4 linked regions of the Arabidopsis thaliana genome follow. The protein of the gene in region 1 purifies or fractionates together with the protein of each later gene. This does not show direct contact. Each region holds a gene or a part of one and is shown in the gene's direction. Other genes may lie near its edges.

Evidence for each region.
Region 2: the proteins of ALDH10A9 (region 1) and ALAAT2 fractionate together in Arabidopsis thaliana (co-fractionation; one large-scale study listed by BioGRID). This does not show direct contact.
Region 3: the proteins of ALDH10A9 (region 1) and SPDS1 fractionate together in Arabidopsis thaliana (co-fractionation; one large-scale study listed by BioGRID). This does not show direct contact.
Region 4: the proteins of ALDH10A9 (region 1) and SPDS2 fractionate together in Arabidopsis thaliana (co-fractionation; one large-scale study listed by BioGRID). This does not show direct contact.

Annotation. Positions count from the first base shown.
Region 1 is NC_003074.8:17,785,332-17,792,040, reverse strand, and holds ALDH10A9 (aldehyde dehydrogenase 10A9), read left to right. Parts: upstream 1-2,014; 5' UTR 2,015-2,122; coding exon 2,123-2,231; intron 2,232-2,586; coding exon 2,587-2,729; intron 2,730-2,822; coding exon 2,823-2,903; intron 2,904-2,982; coding exon 2,983-3,131; intron 3,132-3,315; coding exon 3,316-3,408; intron 3,409-3,495; coding exon 3,496-3,619; intron 3,620-3,732; coding exon 3,733-3,798; intron 3,799-3,916; coding exon 3,917-3,983; intron 3,984-4,075; coding exon 4,076-4,152; intron 4,153-4,595; coding exon 4,596-4,709; intron 4,710-4,840; coding exon 4,841-4,918; intron 4,919-5,005; coding exon 5,006-5,157; intron 5,158-5,244; coding exon 5,245-5,305; intron 5,306-5,404; coding exon 5,405-5,511; intron 5,512-5,660; coding exon 5,661-5,751; 3' UTR 5,752-6,187; downstream 6,188-6,709. Other genes in the region: AT3G48180 (CDP-diacylglycerol-glycerol-3-phosphate 3-phosphatidyltransferase), read left to right, coding at 1,237-1,470; DEL1 (DP-E2F-like 1), read right to left, coding at 6,195-6,295, 6,382-6,709.
Region 2 is NC_003070.9:27,231,762-27,237,331, forward strand, and holds ALAAT2 (alanine aminotransferase 2), read left to right. Parts: upstream 1-1,713; 5' UTR 1,714-1,875; coding exon 1,876-2,088; intron 2,089-2,351; coding exon 2,352-2,402; intron 2,403-2,505; coding exon 2,506-2,556; intron 2,557-2,673; coding exon 2,674-2,739; intron 2,740-2,817; coding exon 2,818-2,879; intron 2,880-2,968; coding exon 2,969-3,047; intron 3,048-3,137; coding exon 3,138-3,281; intron 3,282-3,336; coding exon 3,337-3,447; intron 3,448-3,517; coding exon 3,518-3,655; intron 3,656-3,728; coding exon 3,729-3,924; intron 3,925-4,003; coding exon 4,004-4,158; intron 4,159-4,243; coding exon 4,244-4,318; intron 4,319-4,402; coding exon 4,403-4,606; intron 4,607-4,693; coding exon 4,694-4,810; 3' UTR 4,811-5,028; downstream 5,029-5,570. Other genes in the region: PUM23 (pumilio 23), read right to left, coding at 106-469, 566-819; AT1G72340 (NagB/RpiA/CoA transferase-like superfamily protein), read left to right, coding at 5,056-5,541.
Region 3 is NC_003070.9:8,418,589-8,423,239, forward strand, and holds SPDS1 (spermidine synthase), read left to right. Parts: upstream 1-1,821; coding exon 1,822-1,990; intron 1,991-2,083; coding exon 2,084-2,160; intron 2,161-2,251; coding exon 2,252-2,374; exon of another isoform or gene 2,375-3,029; coding exon 3,030-3,134; intron 3,135-3,230; coding exon 3,231-3,303; intron 3,304-3,402; coding exon 3,403-3,474; intron 3,475-3,579; coding exon 3,580-3,775; coding exon of another isoform or gene 3,776-3,779; intron 3,780-3,859; coding exon 3,860-3,983; intron 3,984-4,070; coding exon 4,071-4,136; downstream 4,137-4,651. Other genes in the region: AT1G23830 (uncharacterized protein), read right to left, coding at 4,415-4,651.
Region 4 is NC_003070.9:26,484,713-26,489,444, reverse strand, and holds SPDS2 (spermidine synthase 2), read left to right. Parts: upstream 1-1,849; 5' UTR 1,850-2,092; coding exon 2,093-2,273; intron 2,274-2,370; coding exon 2,371-2,447; intron 2,448-2,534; coding exon 2,535-2,657; intron 2,658-2,940; coding exon 2,941-3,045; intron 3,046-3,159; coding exon 3,160-3,232; intron 3,233-3,310; coding exon 3,311-3,578; intron 3,579-3,665; coding exon 3,666-3,795; intron 3,796-3,882; coding exon 3,883-3,948; 3' UTR 3,949-4,207; downstream 4,208-4,732. Other genes in the region: UPL2 (ubiquitin-protein ligase 2), read left to right, coding at 1-75, 175-314, 420-526, 598-700.

The DNA of each region.
Region 1 (6,709 bases):
CATTTTGGGTTCCGATTTAAGAGAATCAGATTTTGAAAAAAAAGGTTAGGTATTGACTATGAAGTTAGCATTTTTGAGGTTTGGACGATTAAAATGACTGGTTATCGATCATATGTGTATATAATAGTACCTTAAAAGAGTGACTAGAAAAGTTGTTCTAGACAATAGTACCTTTTAAAAGAGTGACTAAAAGTTGTTAAATGTCAATACCAGTTAATTTGACCTGTCTCGCCAAATAATTAACTAACAAAAATCTAAAACTTTAACAGTGAAATCTTTTCATATTGCACAAGCAGTCAAGCGCATGAAATGTCGTCGCATAACTATTAAATATACCATGTACTTTACATTAACCTACTTATTTTTACTCGATATATCTACCTAATTATGTTTATAAACTATATATACAGTCTATACTTAAGAAACTTTTTACGGTGATCTATCTTTTACCTTTTAATTTTTATTACTTGAATAACAATAATCTAGATGTAACATGTGTTCGCTTTTAATTTTTTGTAATTGAATAGATTTAGCTTCGTTAAACACATATTGATTGATGAATGCTTGAAATTATTGTTCTACAAAAATACTCCAACAAGATTTTGAACCAAACTAGAGATCAGGCTTGCATGATTAACAAAACTATCCATTGATGTAATTATAAACTATCAAAATGAACGGGGTCAAATATGTGACAAAGTCATAATTATTGACCCAATATGGGCTTTTTGATAAGGCCCACAGACAGTTTTTACCCAAGTTCCTAAGAAGAAAGTTGGGTTTTTGCTAATCAGGAAACAAATTCGTAGAAGAAATATTACTGCATTTGGAGAAGAAGTCAAAATTAAAGAGGAATAGACTCACAAAGTCAAAAGATCAAAAGATAAGCACAAGATTTGTATTAATTAAATACCTAATGTATCAAAAACGACTATTTCGTAGTGAGAATTAGGAAAAATAATGACACACAAACACGCAATCCAGAATAAACATAACACAAATATCTACCTAATCTATTTTATCATTAATTTACCACCACACCATTTTATGAACGTAGTCAAATAATCAAAATAATACCTTTTATTTTGTATAAATTAATTAAATAATACATAATCTACTCTAATCTACCCCACCAAACCCTATAATAAGTTGCGTGACTTTCTTATATTAATCACGATTTGATTGAATTAATACATTTTTTCTCACCTAATCAAATCTTTCTCGTTCTCATACAATATGGAGAGAAACTCTTGGGCCGAGCAGTGGGACAGCAATCAACAATCGTCGGGAAAAACAACTCACGGCGGAGAAGGTGGTGGTGCATCGTCTAAATACAAAGAGAAAGTGGGGGCTGGATTAGGGAAGACGAAAGCGGCGGCGAGTTCGGGGTTAAAGAAGGTGAAGATAGGAACATCGTTGGGTCTTAATTGGGTTAAAGACAAGTACAACAAGACCACCACTAAGAATTGACTCATCATATCTTTGTTTTTTTGGATTTACATATTCGTCTTCTTCTTCTTTTTGTAAACGATAAAAATCTGTTTTGATTCTTGCTATATTCATAATGATCGGAGATATTAAAGACTTTTGAAAAAGATGATTTGGCTTGGTTTGATCTTTTTATTGTTCCGTGGAAATGGGGTGAATCGTTTGGTTTGTGAATAATTTTACTAATCATTTTATATAGTTCGAATCAAAAGTTGAAAAACTCAAAAAAAAGAATCTGGATAGTTTGATCTTGTGCGGAATATTAAACTGTGATGAAGAATTGGAATCGAGTCTAGATTCTTGATGACTCTTTAAGTTTAAAACCGGTTTAGCTAAAAATCTGCAATTTTGTTGAATGTCCCTTTTGATTAAACAATTTTTACAAGAAAGAAAAAAAAGACAGCCTCGTATAGGATGTATATAAAAAAATGATGTAAAAATGGTTAGAAATCCAAATAAATGTAAATATCCATGAATTAAATCAATCTTATTTTTTAAAAGGTAAAAAACTATTTTATATGAGCAGCTATCAGAAAAATGGGTCAGATATCATTCTTAGAACCAAAACGGAAAGTCCCAACGATCCCATTTTACTCCTTTTCACCACCTCTAGTAGCAGAGAGAGAGAGAGAGTATGGCGATTACGGTGCCGAGACGGCAACTCTTCATCGGCGGTCAATGGACTGAGCCCGTTCTCCGTAAAACTCTCCCTGTTGTCAATCCCGCCACCGAAGACATCATCGGTACTTTTTATTTTTTCCAATCATATCTTGTGTTACTCACTTTTTGAACTTGATCACTCGATTTTCGCGAGTTTCGATTCAATCTATCGTTATCGGAACTACGCATTTCCCGATTTGCTGTATACTTAGTTCGCGAATTGAAAGAGCTTTGAACTTTTGTCTGTTTGAGACGATCGTCATTTCTTCTGTGATTATTGTCTATGAACGGGAGCGGAAGTTGTTTTTGCGTTAGATCTGTGGGATTATATAGGAGGAGAATAGATAGATATGTAGTTGAATGATTGGATTGGATCTCTTCTCCTGCTGATGGAGTTCTTTGTAGTGTTTTTTAAACTGGGATTGGTGGTGGTTTTAGGTTATATTCCAGCTGCAACTTCTGAAGATGTGGAGCTTGCTGTGGAAGCTGCTAGGAAAGCATTTACTAGGAACAACGGAAAGGATTGGGCTAGAGCAACTGGTGCTGTTCGTGCCAAATACTTGCGCGCTATTGCAGCTAAGGTAACAACAATGAGTTAATCAAATCTATGTTCCTCTCATGTTTCATTCTCTGTTAGCTGTTTTGCCTGGCAATAACATAATGGAAATATCCAGGTAATAGAGAGGAAGTCTGAACTAGCTAATCTTGAGGCTATTGATTGCGGTAAACCTCTAGATGAAGCAGCATGGGACATGGTATTCTCAATTTGCTTTTGTGAACATTTGGCAGTTTTGTGATTCATATGTCACATGTGGTTGCTTGTAACCTTTGCAGGATGATGTTGCTGGATGTTTTGAATATTATGCTGACCTAGCTGAAGGCTTGGATGCAAAGCAGAAGACTCCTCTTTCTCTTCCGATGGATACTTTTAAGGGTTATATTCTCAAGGAACCCATTGGCGTAGTTGGCATGATTACTCCATGGTACTATATTTCATTGACAGATTTGAATCTAACCGATCCCTCAGATCGTTGTGTATTATCCTTTGTCAAGTTCGCGGATTTAAATTTTACATATTCAGATCACATTGGTCTTCAAGTGTTCTATCTTCCTTTTTAGACAAACCGTATGTTATTAGGCAGCTAATAATCTATATTTGCATTCAAGGAACTATCCGTTATTGATGGCTGTCTGGAAAGTCGCTCCTTCACTTGCTGCTGGGTGCACGGCTATACTGAAACCTTCAGAGTTGGCCTCCCTGTGAGTTTTTGATTTCTGTTGACATCATAGCTAGCCACTTCAACTATTAGTTCATTAACTCGCCAATCTGATGCTGTTTTATTCCAGGACATGTTTGGAGCTCGCTGATATTTGCCGCGAGGTGGGTCTACCACCTGGTGTTCTTAATATTCTGACTGGTTTAGGAACTGAAGCAGGTGCTCCACTGGCATCGCATCCACATGTTGACAAGGTCTGATCACTTGTATACCACTACCAGTGTCCTGAAAGTCAAACACTTATAGATAGAGCACTTATTTCCTTTTTATGGGTTAGTTGAAGTATTGATATTTTAGCCTTTACCAGATTGTATTCACTGGAAGCACAACAACTGGAAGCAGCATTATGACTTCCGCTGCCAAATTGGTGAAAGTAAGTCTAAGTGTCCTTGTTACTCTCCTTTGGAACTAGTAGTTATCTTGGCTTGTTTATTCGACCTATGATTTTTCGGGGTCTGTACATGAATCTTGTTTTATGTTTCATTCCACAGCCAGTTTCCTTGGAGCTTGGGGGTAAAAGCCCTATCATTGTCTTTGATGATGTCGATATTGATAAAGGTGGGTACTTTTGGAACCTTAAGAAAACTATGCTATATATTTGTATTCTAAAATGCTGGTTTAATTTGTGACTAATATTTTGCTCTAAACAGCTGTGGAATGGACTATGTTTGGTTGTTTCTGGACGAATGGGCAGATTTGTAGTGCCACATCTCGACTTCTTGTGCATGTAAGTGAGCCTATAATCTACAGTACCTCTGATTTTAAATTCTGCACCGAACTGTTCATGATATGTGTTATCCGTTAACACATATAAAACAAGTTATGTGTTATCCGTTAACACATATAAAACAAGTTATGTGTTATCCGTTAACACAATTATATGTTGTAAAATTAAAGGTTACCTTTGGAAATTAAGTTATAATTATGTAGGCTACTCTAGTCATAAAACAAGTAGAATATATAACTTATCTTTTACATGAAACCACCGATGCAAAGGTACAGAGTTTCAGTATATGTTTATCTGTAAGACTGGTCATCAGCAATTCGGATAGATTGATAAGTATCAGTTGTCGTAGGACCTTGGGAACCCTTGATAAAAGTAGGATAGCGAAGCTTTACTATACTTCTTGTGTACTGTTGTTTTCATGAAAGAATCTGGTGAAATGTCAGGAAAGGATTGCTGACGAGTTTTTGGACAAGCTGGTAAAGTGGACCAAGAACATTAAGATTTCAGATCCTTTTGAAGAAGGCTGTAGGCTTGGTCCTGTTGTCAGTAAAGGACAGGTTAAATTGCTAAACAGAATTGACATTCTCAAGAATAAACACCTCAATCCTCCAAAACCCTCTTATCTATCAATTTGGGTTAATGACGAAAGATTTCTAGTCAAGTCTTACATATTTATCCTCCTGTGCAGTACGAGAGAGTTCTAAAGTTTGTCTCAAACGCTAGGAATGAAGGTGCAACTGTTCTTTGTGGAGGAGTTCGTCCTGAGGTACATTATATTGACTAATCTTCTATGTATGTGCCAAATACTATCTAGAGCCCGTAGCACTTACAATATTTTATTTATGTTCTGCAGCATTTAAAGAAGGGATACTTTGTTGAACCTGCGATTGTTTCAAATGTGACTACTTCAATGGAAATCTGGAGAGAGGAAGTCTTTGGTCCTGCTCTGTGTGTGAAAACATTCTCCACCGAGGATGAGGCAATTCAGCTTGCAAATGACTCTCAGTGAGTGTAGATTTCTCTTCTTATCTTGAAGTAGAACTCCACTGATGACGTGTTAGATCATATGCCTGACTTTATTTGTATTTGCAGATATGGATTAGCAGGCGCAGTATTATCAAATGATCTGGAGCGGTGTGATCGTGTTAGTAAGGTGTGTATCTAACTTTTACTATCAACAATAACAATCAATAACCTCATGATTGAACTTAATCTCTAAAGTTTTATGAATCGTAATCATTGTGTGTTTCAGGCTTTCCAGGCGGGAATAGTGTGGGTCAACTGCTCTCAGCCATGCTTCTGCCAAGCTCCATGGGGTGGAACCAAACGCAGTGGATTTGGCCGTGAATTGGGAGAATGGTTAGTCTCTTTCGTTAGCTATAAGTATTAAGATTATCAAACCATTAGAAAAAGACACTCTCCAACTAGATGGAATTGTGTCCATAGTAACTTAAACCGTAATAGATTACCAACAAAATTTGAATTGAAACATATTTTCTTCGTCGCAGGGGACTTGAGAACTACTTGAGTGTGAAGCAGGTGACTCAGTATATCTCTGATGAACCATGGGGATGGTACAAACCTCCTTCCAAGCTCTGAGACAAACACTAGTTCCTGATATTTCCTTAAAACATGTACTCATGAGAATATACCAATAAAGCAAGAGACCCTTCTGTAAGAGAAATGGTATTGCTACTTTAAATTCTTGAAAAAAATGAAAAATAAGATGAGATGATATTTCTTTTTGTTTTTCTCAAAACAACATGCCATACAAAAGTAGCAAAAAACTGGCGAAAGATGAATGCTCTTATATGTAACATACAAAAGTTACAGCCTACAGTAAACTTCAGAAAGCAAAGAGGGTATGCGATCTGTGAATTAATGTCGGATTCTTGCAGTTACAATTGTGTGGAGAAACTAAACCACATTGATCAAAAGAAATGACTCTTGAAGCTCTCTACACGAATGATGATTGATGTTCACAGGTAAGAGAAGAAGAAGAAGAAGAAGAAGAAGAAGAAGAAGAAGAAGAAAAAGAAGATCTAACGGTGTTGTGATGTATTAGGTAATGGATTCTCCTGGGTGACTTCGCTGAACCATGTCTTCCAAGCATCCATGTAATGGGAAAAGAGGTCTTTCAAAACTGAAATTTGTTCAGAAACAGAGTTAATTTCATAGCAATATTTTGACAAGTTTGATATCAAATGGATGTGAATAAAATATATGCACCTTGGTTTTGGTAAGAGGGACGGTAATCAGAATCCAGATTCTCAACATCAAAAGCTCTCCTAGAGTTATCCTCTAAACCAGCAGTTGGATATGTACCAGTGCCTGGTGCAAAAGGTCCAAAATGGTAACCTCCTCTTGATCCATGTCTTGATTCATGAACATCAAAGCTTTTGTTATAAGAACTCTCTGGTGTTGAGTGCTTTTTCATCTTTAGCCTTCTCTCTGTAGCGTTTTCTTGGGACGAAGATGATGATTTGCTTCTCTTAACATTGACGTTTGTAATATCAGTTCCGAAAGCTCTTTTTCTTGACTCCAATTGCAACAAATC
Region 2 (5,570 bases), on another chromosome or scaffold:
GGGGAAATATTTCACCATCAAAATTGAGGTCAATTACTAGACTAGAAGCAATAATCTGGATACCTTAATATGATTGTCAAAGCCAGTAAAAATTGTATAAAGTACCTTGCATATAGAATGCAAAGCCTCCTCAATAACAGAATAGGCGTCTGGATTTTCTAGATGTGTGGCCAAGGATTTGAGAGCAGACTCTGCGACATGAGAACCAGATCTATCCATTGCAATGGCTGGGAACACACTAGCAGAATTTCGTATGAAACTGCAGAGTTGGTCAAGTTCACATCCCTCAAGTAGAGTTTGCAAGACATGACTTATGATATAGTCTGTAGCAATTTCATACTCCCTCCCTCTTGTTTCTTCAAGGGCATTTCCACATATTACTGAACGTTCCTCTAATTCAACTTCATTACTATCAAAGAGATTGGCAATCTCAGAGAAATACTTTGAAGTCTCTGGATCAATCTCTTTCCTGAAAAAGATACACCCAAATCACTACCACTTCTCACAACAACAAAATTTCGACTATAAATTAGAGCAAAGGCCCTTGGTTAAAAATCTCCTTTACCTGACAAATTGATTCTGATGTTCGAATTCGGAGTGTTTCTTTGATGCTGGCTTTACATTGGGGGCACCACCGGATTGGTTCTTCTTGCTGCTATCTACATCAAATCCACGGTTACCCTTATGGTCCTTCCTACGCATTCCCTTATTCCTTTCACTGTGATTGTTACTAGACTTTCCTCGTTCACCCATCAAGCTATCTTCCTCAATGGTCCTGTGCCTCCTAGATGGCAATGATTTAGAACCAACAGAAACCATGAAAATTCCTAGCCCCAACTATGTTAAACCCTACAAAATTTACACACAAAAAAACTCAGCTTCGAAGAACTATTAGTCCCAAATTACACAATATAACAAAAAAGGGAAAGGTTCAATTTTTTCTCCAAATTTACAGACCCCAAAAATTAGGGTTTCTACCTCTACTTCAAAACGATACCATAACTGGGTTGAATAACCTAAAACATAACAATAAATTCCGAGTCCCAATTCTAAGACTTTACACTAATCCATGTGAAGCTTGTACAAAAGAACAGAAACAATAAGGTGTATCACAAACCTTTGAGGATGCAAAAACACAGTTGACGTTAGAGGAGAAACGAACAAGCGTGAGCTCAGACTAAGAACGCGGCGCAGAGACAAAACGACGTCGTCTCCGAAACTCTTGGTATACGTTGGATCAAAATCTTCGATGTTTTGACGTTGTACAAATTTTCTAATTCCTAGGGTTTTATTCTCGTCCAACCTAATACGATATCGTTTTGTTGACGTGGATATAAACAAATAATGGGCTTTAAATCACGATTTTACCGACCTTTTTAGGGCCCAATTATGTAGCCCAAAAAAAACCTCATCGTTAGCAATGTGCTGCTACATGTTGTTGTGATTTATTTAAATTTAGAGATTTCTAAAAATTTATAACTTTCAAATTAGCTGTAGGTTTTATAAGTATCTATTTATCCCCAAATTAGATTACGACTGTGATTGGATTATTCAATTTTGGTCCTTTTGGATAATTAAGTCAACGGAAGATAGACTTCAGACATCTTTTTTTGATAAAAGACATGTCTTTTTTTGGGATTAGTCGTGTGTTTAACAGATAAATCAACAAAATTAGCCGCCTAAAAAAAACCCCTACAAATATCTTCATCAATTAGATTTTCGAAAAGAAAAAACGAAAAAGCAATTTCTGAGCGTGGAGGACAAGGCAAAATTCGGTGTGCAAGGCACTGGATATTGGGACCCTTGTTTCCTCGTGAGAGAATTTTCAATCCTAGGGCTTAAAGAGCACGTTCCTAGTATAAAGCTGATTCACAGATGCGGAGATTCTTGATTAACCAAGCTAAAGGTCTCGTCGACCATTCTCGTCGTCAACATCACCACAAAAGTCCAAGCTTTCTCTCTCCTCAACCTCGTCCCCTTGCTTCTTCTCCTCCTGCTCTGTCTCGTTTCTTCTCTTCTACTTCGGAGATGTCTGCTTCTGATTCCACTTCTTCTCTTCCCGTTACTCTTGACTCCATCAATCCCAAGGTCGGTTTCTAATTCTCTAGCTGGTTTATTGCGTTTTTGAATTGTGGGTTTCAGGGTTGATCTGGATTTGTTTCTAATTTAGTAAAAAAGTTTCAATTTTTTACTGTGGTTGTCTGATTTAACGCCAAAGGTTTATCCTTTGCTTCTCGTTGTGATTCCCAACGATGAAATCGACAAGCTTTGCATAACTTCTTTGTACTTTATATTACAGAGAAGTTGGTTTTATTGTTAACTAAGAGTTTTTTTTCTTTTCCGGGGAACAGGTTCTGAAATGTGAGTATGCTGTTCGAGGAGAAATTGTCAACATTGCTCAGGTCAGAGATGCATGTGCTTTGTCTTGTAAAACCAAGAACAAAATCTGTAAAATTGTTTTTAATGCTAATTGATTTTTGTTTGCTTTTTGCTTCCATCTTACAGAAGTTACAAGAAGACTTGAAGACTAATAAGGATGCTTATCCCTTTGATGAGGTAAAATCTCTTTCTTTATCGGCAGTTTTGACGGATTTATGATTAGTTTAGTGTTGATGTTACCTGTTCTCAAACTCTTTGTGCAAGGAACTTAGAATTCTTCATTACTTTTGGCAGATAATCTATTGCAACATTGGGAATCCTCAATCTCTTGGTCAGCTGCCTATAAAGTTCTTCCGTGAGGTAAGTGAATGTTTTTGGTACTAGTTTGGTTGTCATATCAGCCACAGAGATATAACGTCTATCATCTATATGCCTCAGGTTCTCGCATTGTGTGACCACGCAAGTCTTTTGGATGAGTCTGAAACCCATGGTTTGTTCAGGTGAGGTTTTCCTTGCTATATTTCAGCTTTAGGACATGTATGCTCACGGTTTAAGATTGCTTAACATTTGATTTCTACTCTGCTATCAGTACCGATTCAATTGACCGAGCATGGAGGATTTTGGACCATATTCCCGGAAGAGCAACTGGGGCTTACAGTCATAGCCAGGTTTGTTATTAGAGTCTAGTTAAAAGTCCTAAACCCTTTCTTGAGATGGTTCTTATGTTGCTGAATGTTTCATTTTTTGTTCTGCCTCAGGGTATCAAGGGTTTACGTGATGTAATTGCAGCTGGAATCGAAGCACGTGATGGTTTCCCTGCTGATCCAAATGATATTTTCTTGACTGATGGTGCAAGTCCAGCGGTAACAATCAAAACGAAAACGTTATCTCATAGAGTTAGAGTAAGTTCTTTTAAAGGATTCATGCTAAGTGTTTTTGGTGTTTTTTACTCTATAGGTTCACATGATGATGCAACTTCTCTTGAGCTCAGAGAAAGATGGTATTCTTTCCCCGATTCCTCAGTATCCATTGTACTCGGCTTCAATTGCCCTTCATGGTGGATCTTTGGTATGTTCATATAATCATCATGGAGTAATGTTGTTTTTTGGTACAAGTTTTTGAAATTTGTACTTCTTAGGTTCCGTACTATCTTGATGAAGCAACAGGATGGGGACTGGAAATATCTGACCTTAAGAAGCAACTAGAGGAAGCTAGGTCCAAGGGCATCTCTGTAAGGGCCTTGGTTGTCATAAACCCCGGTAACCCAACTGGGCAGGTACAAACAGATTTTCAAGACTAGCCTAACAAAATGTAACATTCTTCTAATCTTGCGTTCTTATTCTGGTTAGGTTCTTGCGGAAGAAAACCAGCGTGACATTGTTAATTTCTGCAAGCAAGAGGGTTTGGTTCTTTTAGCTGATGAAGTCTACCAAGAAAATGTTTACGTCCCTGACAAAAAGTTCCATTCTTTCAAGAAAGTGGCTCGGTCTTTGGGCTATGGAGAAAAAGATATCTCGTTAGTCTCGTTCCAATCAGTCTCCAAAGGTAAAAGAACAACTTTTACTGTCCAATGCTTGTCATCTAAAAAATGGGGTTTTTGTTTTTAATATTCTTCTGTTGATAGGATATTATGGAGAATGTGGAAAAAGAGGAGGTTACATGGAGGTTACTGGATTCACTTCTGATGTAAGAGAACAGATATACAAAATGGCTTCTGTGAATCTTTGTTCTAACATCTCTGGTCAAATTCTTGCTAGCCTTGTCATGAGCCCACCCAAGGTAACACCCTAGTTCTCTCTAATCGGTTTTCGCTAAGTTCTTGCAACAGATTATGACTAAAAAGTCTAATATTGTATTTGATCAGCCTGGTGATGACTCATATGACTCATACATGGCAGAAAGAGATGGAATTCTCTCATCCATGGCTAAACGTGCAAAGGTTAGTCGAAGATTACAATACCCTCTAACGACATTTTTCAGTCTCTTTGTATATAATGTCACAAGCTTGAAAATGAACTTGCAGACTTTGGAAGACGCTCTCAACAGTTTAGAAGGTGTTACATGTAACAGAGCCGAAGGAGCAATGTATCTCTTCCCGCGAATTAACCTTCCTCAAAAGGCTATCGAAGCTGCTGAGGCTGAAAAAACTGCACCAGATGCGTTCTACTGCAAACGCCTTCTCAATGCTACTGGTGTAGTTGTAGTCCCTGGTTCTGGCTTTGGACAGGTAAAATATAACCAAATCTTCATAACTTTAAATGTCTTACAAAAGGATCGAACTTGAATAATGGGTTTTGGATTCATTGTGGTTTAGGTTCCTGGAACATGGCACTTTAGATGCACAATACTTCCACAAGAAGACAAGATTCCAGCGATAGTGAATCGTCTGACAGAGTTCCACAAGAGCTTCATGGACGAGTTCCGCAACTAAAAGGACCTGACCATGAAGATGAACTTAAAGACCCTTTTGAAGAAAAGTGTGATCAGTTTGAGTTATTAAAAAAAAGAAAACTTGTGTTTTGAATTTGATCAGGCAATTGTGATCAGCTAATTTAATTTTAGAATATTTTGTACTTCCATTCCATGGCATGTCATATGAAGATATGAAAATTAGTAAATTTATTGGGCTTATAAATGGGCCTTATATTATTAATGGGCCTTATATTTATTTTTCATATGATATTTCTGGAGAAAGCGACAGTATATTATCTTCAATTTTTCCATTTTGAAGAATTTTCTCAAGAAAAAAAAAAATCAATGTGGAGAAGATCACCGTCGTTTATTCTCGACGAGCGACGAAGCTCGAATTCACCTCCAATGGCGGATACAACACGAGGTCCTTTTCAAAACCCTGATTCCATCTCCGCTTATTACCAAACTCGCGCGGCGCATCACGGTGTCATTACAAGCGACTGGCTAGCCCAAGCTCAAGCCGCCGTTGGCGGCGTCTCAGGCGATGCCCAGCATGACTTATCCGTAACTGATCTCGGGAACGAGAAGTCGTTTAATGTAATTGAAGAGTTCAATAACTGGAGAAAACAACCGGATCTGGCTGAAGCCGTCGCGGCTATACGAGCTTTGGCTGCTGTTATTCGTGCGAGCGAAGCGAGCACCATGATGGAGCTTGAAATTGAGCTCAAAAAGGCTTCTGATACACTCAAGGTGAGAATTCATTTTTCACTTTCTGTTCA
Region 3 (4,651 bases), on another chromosome or scaffold:
AAGGCTTCTAACGAAAAGAGAGTGATTTTAGTTTTCTTTTGCAAACATTTGAGTTTGGTTTGATTAACATGACATTCACAAATATGCTATGCTTCTATGTTGAGGTATATTGTACAATGAATTGGCGTATAAGAGACTAAAAGAGAGTGTATAGTTTCTTTTGTTGAGGTTTCTTTGATATCAAATGTTTTTTCACTAAATAAATATTTCCTCGTTACCAAGAAGACATGAGATTTGGGCCGTGTAGATATTTTTTGGGTCGTGTTTGCATAAGAAACTGAGAGGGGAAACACTAAAAAAACAGAGTTCAGCTAGAAACAAAAACAGAGAGGAAGAGAGCCCAAACTTACGCCTGGCCAAAAAATACAGAGCAAAACAAACAAAGTCAAGTAATTCTAATAACAAATATATTTTCTAATTTAAGTAAACCTTATATGAATTACGAAATTGATAATAAGATTTTATAGAAAAAAATTAAATTCAATATTTATATCTCTAATTTAAATATGTTTTGTATATTTTTTAAAACAAGATTTGGACTAAATTAATACAAATATCTGCATTCTAATCATAAAACTTTCTCATCATATGTCTTTAATTTATAGAAAGCTTTTAAATTTCATTTTCACAGATTTTACCAATTATATACTTTTGCAACTAAAAAAACCAGAAGACTGCAGTGTAAAAGCTAATGCTAAGATTTTACTAATTATCTGCTCAATACAAACACAAATCGATAATAAAGCTCTTTACATACAAACACCGGATTCTACTATCGATGATGCGGATGCGGTTACATACATCAATGCTGTGAAGGAAGCATTTCATGATGAACCTGCCAAGTATGACGTGTTTTTAAAGCTCTTTACTGACGTTCGCGTCCATATATAGATATGAGTTGTTTTCTCTCTTGTTATGTTTGGCATGCTCATCATTTCATAAGTACCAATCCACAGAACAAACACACTACGTGAACTGATCCTGATGTTACTAAGGTCTCTTTTTGTAGAGTGTATGTCGCTAGTGACATTTCTAGAACGAAGGAACTCATCAAAGATCACGAGAATCTGCTTCTTCGTTTAAATGCCTTCCTTTCCAGCTGAGACTCAGAGAGTCCTACATCCCAATATTGAGCAACGGGCTGCATCTGATGATAACAAAAGAAGTTCCTTGTAGACTGACAAAACATAAGCACCTATGTGCTTTGATTGAGCTTTGAACCCACAAGAGCCAAGATTTAGCTAATACTACATATGAACCAATTGCTTCCTCTACTAGGAGCTGTACCAAATCTTATTATCACTGTACAAAGTTTCATATTGTTAAAAACTAATTTACACAAGATTACTTACAACAAATAAAGTTAAAACAAAAATAGATTATAGAGTTTGGAATTGGTAACTAAACCAATTGAGAGAACATGGAAATAACATTCTCTAGTCTAGTCCGTCCATGTTTGGTGGTGGTACAGTATGAGAATTTTGCACGTGAGAAAGCGCGTGTGCTAAAAAGCGAGTGAGCATTAAAGACACGAATAAAAAACCAGACATAAAAAGCCAAAAAGTTTCTCTTTAAAAAACCATTAAAAAGGACCCAAAAGTTAAAGAAACGATATATTCGAGGCAAAAGTAGAATTATCATCACATAATAATTTCGCTACGTTGAAAAAAAAGTGAATAAAAAAATGAAATGATATTTTCAGTTGTACGCTCTTCTCTTCCTTATATCTTCCGCTTCACTTCACACCAAAATCACCACCTCTCACAAACCCTAGTTCCTCCTCTCTCTCATTTCTCGGAGATATTCACCAGAGCAATAACCATGGACGCTAAAGAAACCTCTGCCACCGATTTGAAAAGACCGAGAGAAGAGGATGATAACGGCGGCGCCGCTACCATGGAGACGGAGAACGGAGATCAGAAAAAGGAACCTGCTTGTTTCTCCACTGTTATTCCTGGGTGGTTCTCTGAAATGAGTCCTATGTGGCCAGGTCTTGTTTCCTTCCTCTCTCTCTCTCAAAAAACAAATTCTGGGTTCTTAAATTAAAAAGCTGATTTTTTTTTTCATTGGTTTGATGATGCAGGAGAGGCACACTCATTGAAGGTTGAGAAAGTTTTGTTTCAAGGGAAATCAGATTATCAGGATGTTATTGTTTTCCAGGTAACAAAAATAAGAATCATTTCTCTGTTTTTTCCTAACTTATTTGTCTGTGATTATACTTATAAAGACTTGTTTTTTATGTGTTGGTTAGTCTGCAACATATGGAAAAGTTTTGGTTTTGGATGGAGTAATCCAACTTACGGAGAGAGATGAATGTGCTTATCAGGAAATGATCACTCATCTTCCTTTGTGTTCTATCCCTAACCCTAAGAAGGTATACAATCAATCCTTTTGCTAGATTCTGTGACCTTGATTGTGTTGTGTTGTGGGTAATCAAAAGTTTATAGCTTTGGAATGTAATGAAAGGTCTTTCTTGAAGTTTGCATTTTTCTTCTCCGGTAAAGTAGGATGATGAAATCATTAGTTATGGAGAAATAGAGAAACCAGAGTTCCTTTTATTAGATGTGTATATAGAAACTACTTGAGTTGGCATTAATGATTACATTCCAGGGTGGTGATAGGAATGTCCACTAGAGAAAAGGTTCATGATCACCATTTTTTGCTTTTTATATGTACAAACTTTGATGGCCTCCTGAGAAAAAAAGGTACATAGTCCCATGTTCCCTTCTGGCAAAGTTAGAGAACTCAAGTAACTTTATTGGGTTATAATAATGATTCGGAAGAAACTTATTTCAATGGGCTTAAATGATTAGTCTTTAGCTTGTTATTGGGGGACTTGGTTCAGAAAAGGTTAGATAATCAAGCTTCTTACATTCAGAATTGCTTTTGCTCCCAAGTATCAGAATTGGGTAGTCTAACTATTTTGGGTTATGGTAAAGTGGGTCAGCTAAAAATGCTGTTTTTGCTTTTAGCTAGTAAAGCTATAAGCCAGAGTGTATCTGATCAATGCCTTTCTAGTTCTTCCATAGGTTTTGGTCATTGGAGGAGGAGATGGAGGTGTCCTGCGGGAAGTTGCACGCCATGCTTCTATTGAGCAGATTGACATGTGTGAAATTGATAAAATGGTGGTCGACGTGAGTGGTCACTTACTTTTCACCTTTCCTTCTTCTCTATTTCGATAGATAAATACCTTGTTATCTAATTTGTTTCCACCTACTGGTAATTTTCAGGTGTCTAAGCAATTTTTCCCTGATGTAGCAATTGGATATGAGGATCCTCGCGTGAACCTTGTCATTGGCGATGGTACAATACTGCCGCTTTTTTCTCTCTTTCTGAAACATTATGTAGTTATGTTGAACACATTTTGCCGTTTCAAACTGATCGGTTGGTGAATCGTTGCAGGTGTTGCTTTCTTGAAGAATGCTGCTGAAGGATCATACGATGCAGTTATTGTTGACTCTTCAGATCCAATCGGTAACTACTACAATCAGATGTCATCAGATGTCATCAGAAACAACATTATTCCTTACTGTTATGTTGAACAATACTAAAAAGCAGCCTTTACTTATTGTCTGTCAGGTCCTGCAAAGGAGCTGTTTGAGAAACCCTTCTTCCAATCTGTGGCTAGAGCTCTTCGTCCTGGTGGAGTTGTGTGCACTCAAGCTGAAAGCTTGTGGCTTCACATGGACATCATCGAAGACATTGTTTCCAACTGCCGTGAGATCTTCAAGGGTTCTGTGAACTATGCTTGGACCAGCGTTCCAACATACCCCAGGCATGTTTAATGACCTTTAACATCAATCTCTCTCCTTTTTGGGTGATTATAACTTAACCTGAATCACACTTTTCTTATTTTCAGTGGGGTCATTGGATTTATGCTTTGTTCAACTGAAGGACCTGATGTTGACTTCAAACACCCACTGAACCCAATTGACGAGAGCTCCAGCAAATCAAATGGACCTTTGAAGTTTTACAATGCCGAGGTAAGATAAAAATCTCTCAGTATACCATTTCATGCGGTCTACACACTCGAATCATTAGCTTATGCTCTCATTTCTTGGGGGTTTCAGATTCATTCAGCTGCATTCTGCTTGCCTTCTTTCGCCAAGAAGGTCATTGAGTCAAAAGCCAATTGAAAAGGGAAAGAAAACTAATCTGGAGGATCGTTGAATTTATCAAAAAATAAAAGCTTTTTACAGTTTTTAGAATGTTCTGTTGTTTCACTCATGTTTCTGTAACACAATGCAAGAGCGACTATGTCTTCTTTTAGCATTACACATTCGCATAGTAGCAAATCCTATTTACAACATGTTCTTATGCTTTTGCGTTGAAGCTGAGAAGTCTAATAACCTTTCTGCTTTTATACCATTTATTATAAAGATTCACACTTTGAATTGATCTCAGCCAAAGTCTCTTAAGCAGCAGGAGTTTTAGCTTGTTCTACATCACGCTTTTTTCTCAAAACCATAGTTTTACAATCATGGTAACAGGCAAGACAAGTCACCCATTTAAGTAAATTGCCAACACAAATCAAGCCTACATAGAAGCCAGTGTACATCACTCCATTTCCACTCGCACTGCATTTGGAGTATAAACATGGCATCCTTGTCGCAAGACCGAAGACCAAGAACATTAACATCAACCAGAGGTC
Region 4 (4,732 bases), on another chromosome or scaffold:
TACCTCGTGAGCTTGTATCAATTTTCAATGATAAAGAGCTTGAGCTCCTAATCAGCGGGTTGCCTGAGATTGATTGTAAGTTGGCATTCTATTTTTCAATATTTTTGCATCTATTTGCTTATTCATTTAAAGTTATAATAACAATCTTGTTATCTGTTTTCTTTTGTTTTTTAGTTGATGATCTAAAAGCAAATACCGAGTATACCAGCTACACGGTAGGGTCCCCTGTTATTCGTTGGTTCTGGGAGGTTGTCAAAGCTTTCAGCAAAGAAGATATGGCTAGATTTCTTCAATTTGTCACTGGAACATCAAAGGTAAAACCAATATTTGCAGCTTCTGTCCAAGTCGCTTGAGCTTCATTTTCTGATATGTACTAGTTTTTCTTCTGGTTGTTTTACAAGCGGTGTTTCTGTTTTCAGGTTCCCTTGGAAGGCTTCAAGGCACTGCAAGGTATTTCTGGCCCTCAAAGATTACAAATCCACAAAGCATATGGATCTCCGGAGCGGCTGCCATCAGCTCATACATGGTTAGACATTATTACAAAGTCTTTTTTTTTTCAGTTAAACGTGGTCGTAATTTTCATTGGTTCTGTTGCAGTTTTAACCAACTAGACCTCCCTGAGTATCAATCTAAGGAACAAGTTCAGGAACGCCTGCTTCTTGCAATTCACGAAGCCAATGAAGGTTTTGGGTTTGCTTGAACAAAGCTTAAGAAGAAGGAAGAGCTTTTGATTAAGAGCAAGAAATAGAAAACGCAAGTGGCTATTTTTGTCTGTCCATATATTATGTTAGTATATTAGTCCATTGTTTTTTTTTTAGGCTTTCTCTCTATTTCCTTAGATTTTGTTAAAAATAGTTGCAAACTCTCAAATATTAGTAGTTGATATTTGCTATCCATTTTTATAAGATGAGAAAATTACATAACTGCTGGTCATTATTTTGAATACTTCCTTTCTGTCACGCGTATTGGCATATTCCTCAACCAACATACGAAGGCCAGTTTGTTATCACAAGTTTGCAAGCCCATTGTCTTAATATCTCAACTGTCTCCAGAAGCAAGTCTCATAACATCTAGAAGAGGTTGTTGAGCATACCAAGTGTGTTCCGAGGAGGATAAACATGGGAGACTCCACTCCAAACTCCATTACCTTCACCACCTGCCTATTCAGCAAATGAAGAATCAGAGTGTGTGCATGGCATCTCTCCGAAAATCCCACACAGGGTCTTGATCTTTGTCCTCCACGTTCATCATCATTTTCATCCATTATTGCTTACTCGCCTTGTCCTTGACGTTCCACATTTGTCTCCAGCCAACAAGTATTGCTGGTATAAGCTTTGATAGTTTGTAAAATAAACATTAGCTAACATAAATACTCTTTTGCCTCTTATCAAAAAAAAAAAATGATGCTTCACAAGTTAACACACCTTCAAATTTTCTTAAAAAACATCTATATGCAATAACAGAATTCAAATTATAATGCAATAATGATAAGAAAACATTTCTCCTCCATCAACCAAAACGTGAATTAACATCTATCGAAAATAGGTGCTTCACAAGTTGACACACTTGACACACAAAATCTACAAGTGTGAGAGCGCTTGTTCATAACGAGTTTAAAGAATCGCAAAACACACTCATATTAATAATAATCAATCAACTTTTGGAAATATTCAATACTCTTTTGTTGATACATGTAGTCTTCTAAGATAAAATAAAAACGTATACACTAAACAGTTTTTTTTTTTTTTTTTTGGGGTCAATAACAGAATCTAAAAATTAAAGTTAAAATTTAAACGATAAAAGTATTTAATTGGGACGTTTATCAAAATGAAACAATGCATTGGATCGGCTTTAAAAAGCAACCAAAAAAAAAAGAGCTGTCATGATTGATATTCATCATCACAAAATAATGAAAATTGCCTTATTCACGTAATAACAAAAAGAAAATGATTTTATAACAGTCGAATCGTACGGCAGATATTTGTTGGCCCCTCCTCTTATATGATATCATAGTCAACAAGAGAACAAAGCCACAGAGAGAGAGAGACACTAAAACCCTAATCTCTTACTCACTGTCTCTCTTCTTCAATCCATGTCTTCAACACAAGAAGCGTCTGTTACTGATTTGCCCGTGAAGAGACCTAGAGAAGCAGAGGAGGACAATAACGGCGGCGCCATGGAAACAGAGAACGGTGGAGGAGAGATAAAGGAGCCTTCTTGTATGTCCTCTATTATTCCTGGATGGTTCTCTGAGATTAGTCCTATGTGGCCAGGTATAGATTCCTCTGTTTTCCCCAATTGAGGTCCGTCTAATTCCTCATGTTAATTCTCTGTGAAGCTGATTTTGAATATCTCTATCTGAGTTTGTAGGAGAAGCACATTCTCTCAAGGTAGAGAAGATTCTATTCCAAGGGAAATCAGATTACCAGGATGTTATTGTTTTCCAGGTAATAAGGACAGTTTCTTGGTTAGTCTGTCTCTCTAAGTTTGGTTCACTTTTATATAAAGTTGTCAACTTTGGTGTATTTTGTTAGTCTGCAACATATGGAAAGGTTTTGGTTTTGGATGGAGTGATTCAACTCACTGAGAGAGATGAATGTGCGTATCAAGAAATGATCACTCATCTTCCTTTGTGCTCTATCTCCAACCCCAAAAAGGTAAATCCTTTATCAACAATCTTAATCTCTAGATAATCAAAGTCTCTTGCTTTCAAATGGAAAACTGCAAGAAAGAAGGTGAATTGTCTATCAGTTATGACCATATAACTTGTTTGAGCTAGAAATACATCAAAAGGATGATCCTTTAAGGGAGTTTTAGTTTTGAGTTTGTGTTTGAGAAAGGTCTATAATTGAAGTGTTTTGAGTCTTTTCCCTCTTGCTATTGGATGGTATAACTGTAAAGTAACCAAGTGGGTTTCTTATGGAAATGTTTCTTCTTCAGGTACTGGTGATTGGAGGAGGAGATGGAGGAGTCCTGAGGGAAGTGGCACGTCATAGTTCTGTTGAGCAGATTGACATTTGTGAAATAGATAAAATGGTGGTTGATGTGAGTACTTGTCAGATTTCTTTCATTTATTATTATGCATCTTGCAAGTGCATTGTGATGAACCTTTACTTAAGTTTAATATGTTTTCTTCCACCTTATGGGATCTTTCTTCAGGTGGCTAAGCAGTATTTCCCTAATGTAGCAGTTGGATACGAGGATCCTCGTGTCAACCTCATCATTGGCGATGGTACACAATGCTCTCTGCTTTCATCTCTCTCTTTTGAGATCAGTTTTTATAAACAATGTTGTGGCCATTTTTTTGTAGGTGTTGCTTTCTTGAAGAACGCTGCTGAAGGAACCTATGATGCAGTTATTGTTGATTCATCTGATCCAATCGGTCCAGCAAAAGAGCTATTTGAGAAACCTTTCTTTGAGTCAGTGAATAGAGCTCTTCGTCCTGGTGGAGTTGTGTGCACACAAGCTGAAAGCTTGTGGCTTCACATGGATATCATTGAAGACATTGTTTCTAATTGCCGTGACATCTTTAAAGGATCTGTTAACTACGCTTGGACCAGTGTTCCAACTTACCCGAGGTCTTTGAAATTGATCTTGAAAACATTTATGCTTTTTTTGTTTGCATTGATCTCAAACGTCTGAGTTTGTATGTGATTCATTTGCAGTGGAGTCATTGGATTCATGCTTTGTTCATCTGAAGGACCACAAGTCGATTTCAAGAAGCCAGTGAGTCTAATCGATACTGATGAAAGCTCTATCAAATCACACTGTCCCTTGAAGTATTACAACGCTGAGGTACATAAAAAGTAGTTAGTGTAACAATCATTTTCGAAATGTGTGAATCATTGTTAAGAATTGTGATTGAATCTTTTTGTGTTGCAGATTCACTCAGCTGCTTTCTGCTTGCCCTCTTTTGCTAAGAAGGTGATTGATTCGAAAGCCAACTAGAAAAGAGAAGAGAAATCATTTGCTTTAGAGAAACTTCATGTGGAAGTGATAATATGATGATACAATGATCCTTTGGAAAAAAATAAAGAAGTTTTAATTTTTAGAATGTAATGTTCTTTCACCTGCAATGTTATGTGACTGCACTGAGCTATCAATCTCTTTTTATAAGCATTACACATATTTCATATCCTTTTTTTAACGTTATGCATCTATAATTGACTAACTTTCGATTTAATGTGATCACATAATATGATTTAAAACCCAAAAATTTGTAGACTAATTTTTTATCATTTTGACATGTTTCCTCTAAATTATAAAAATAAGGGCAAATAAAACAAATATTTTAATAGGTGTGATTTGGACCAAAAATAGAAAAAATGGAGAGGCAAAACTGTTTTATGGGCCTTAATAAAAATTAAATGTTTTGGGCTTACATCATCAGCCGTCCAAAACAGTTGGTTTGTCCAACAGAACTTGTATACGTGTTCACTGGTATTGTCGACGTTGACGTTATAATTATAACAAGAGGTTGACCATCGTTATTCACGTGTGTATGGGTTCACATCTATCATGACATCACAATATTACAAACATTACCTAATTTATGACTTTTAAATCTAATGATAATTTTACTTGATCGTCATCAATTATGTTTAATTTTCTGTCGCTCTCAATTCCTAATAATACCACTTAATAGGTCCTTCTTGAAGTAGTTGGATTGCCACTTGCAACTTTAACCAGCATATAACCTTGTACATGTTCCTTTTTTTTAGTTAAAGACCTT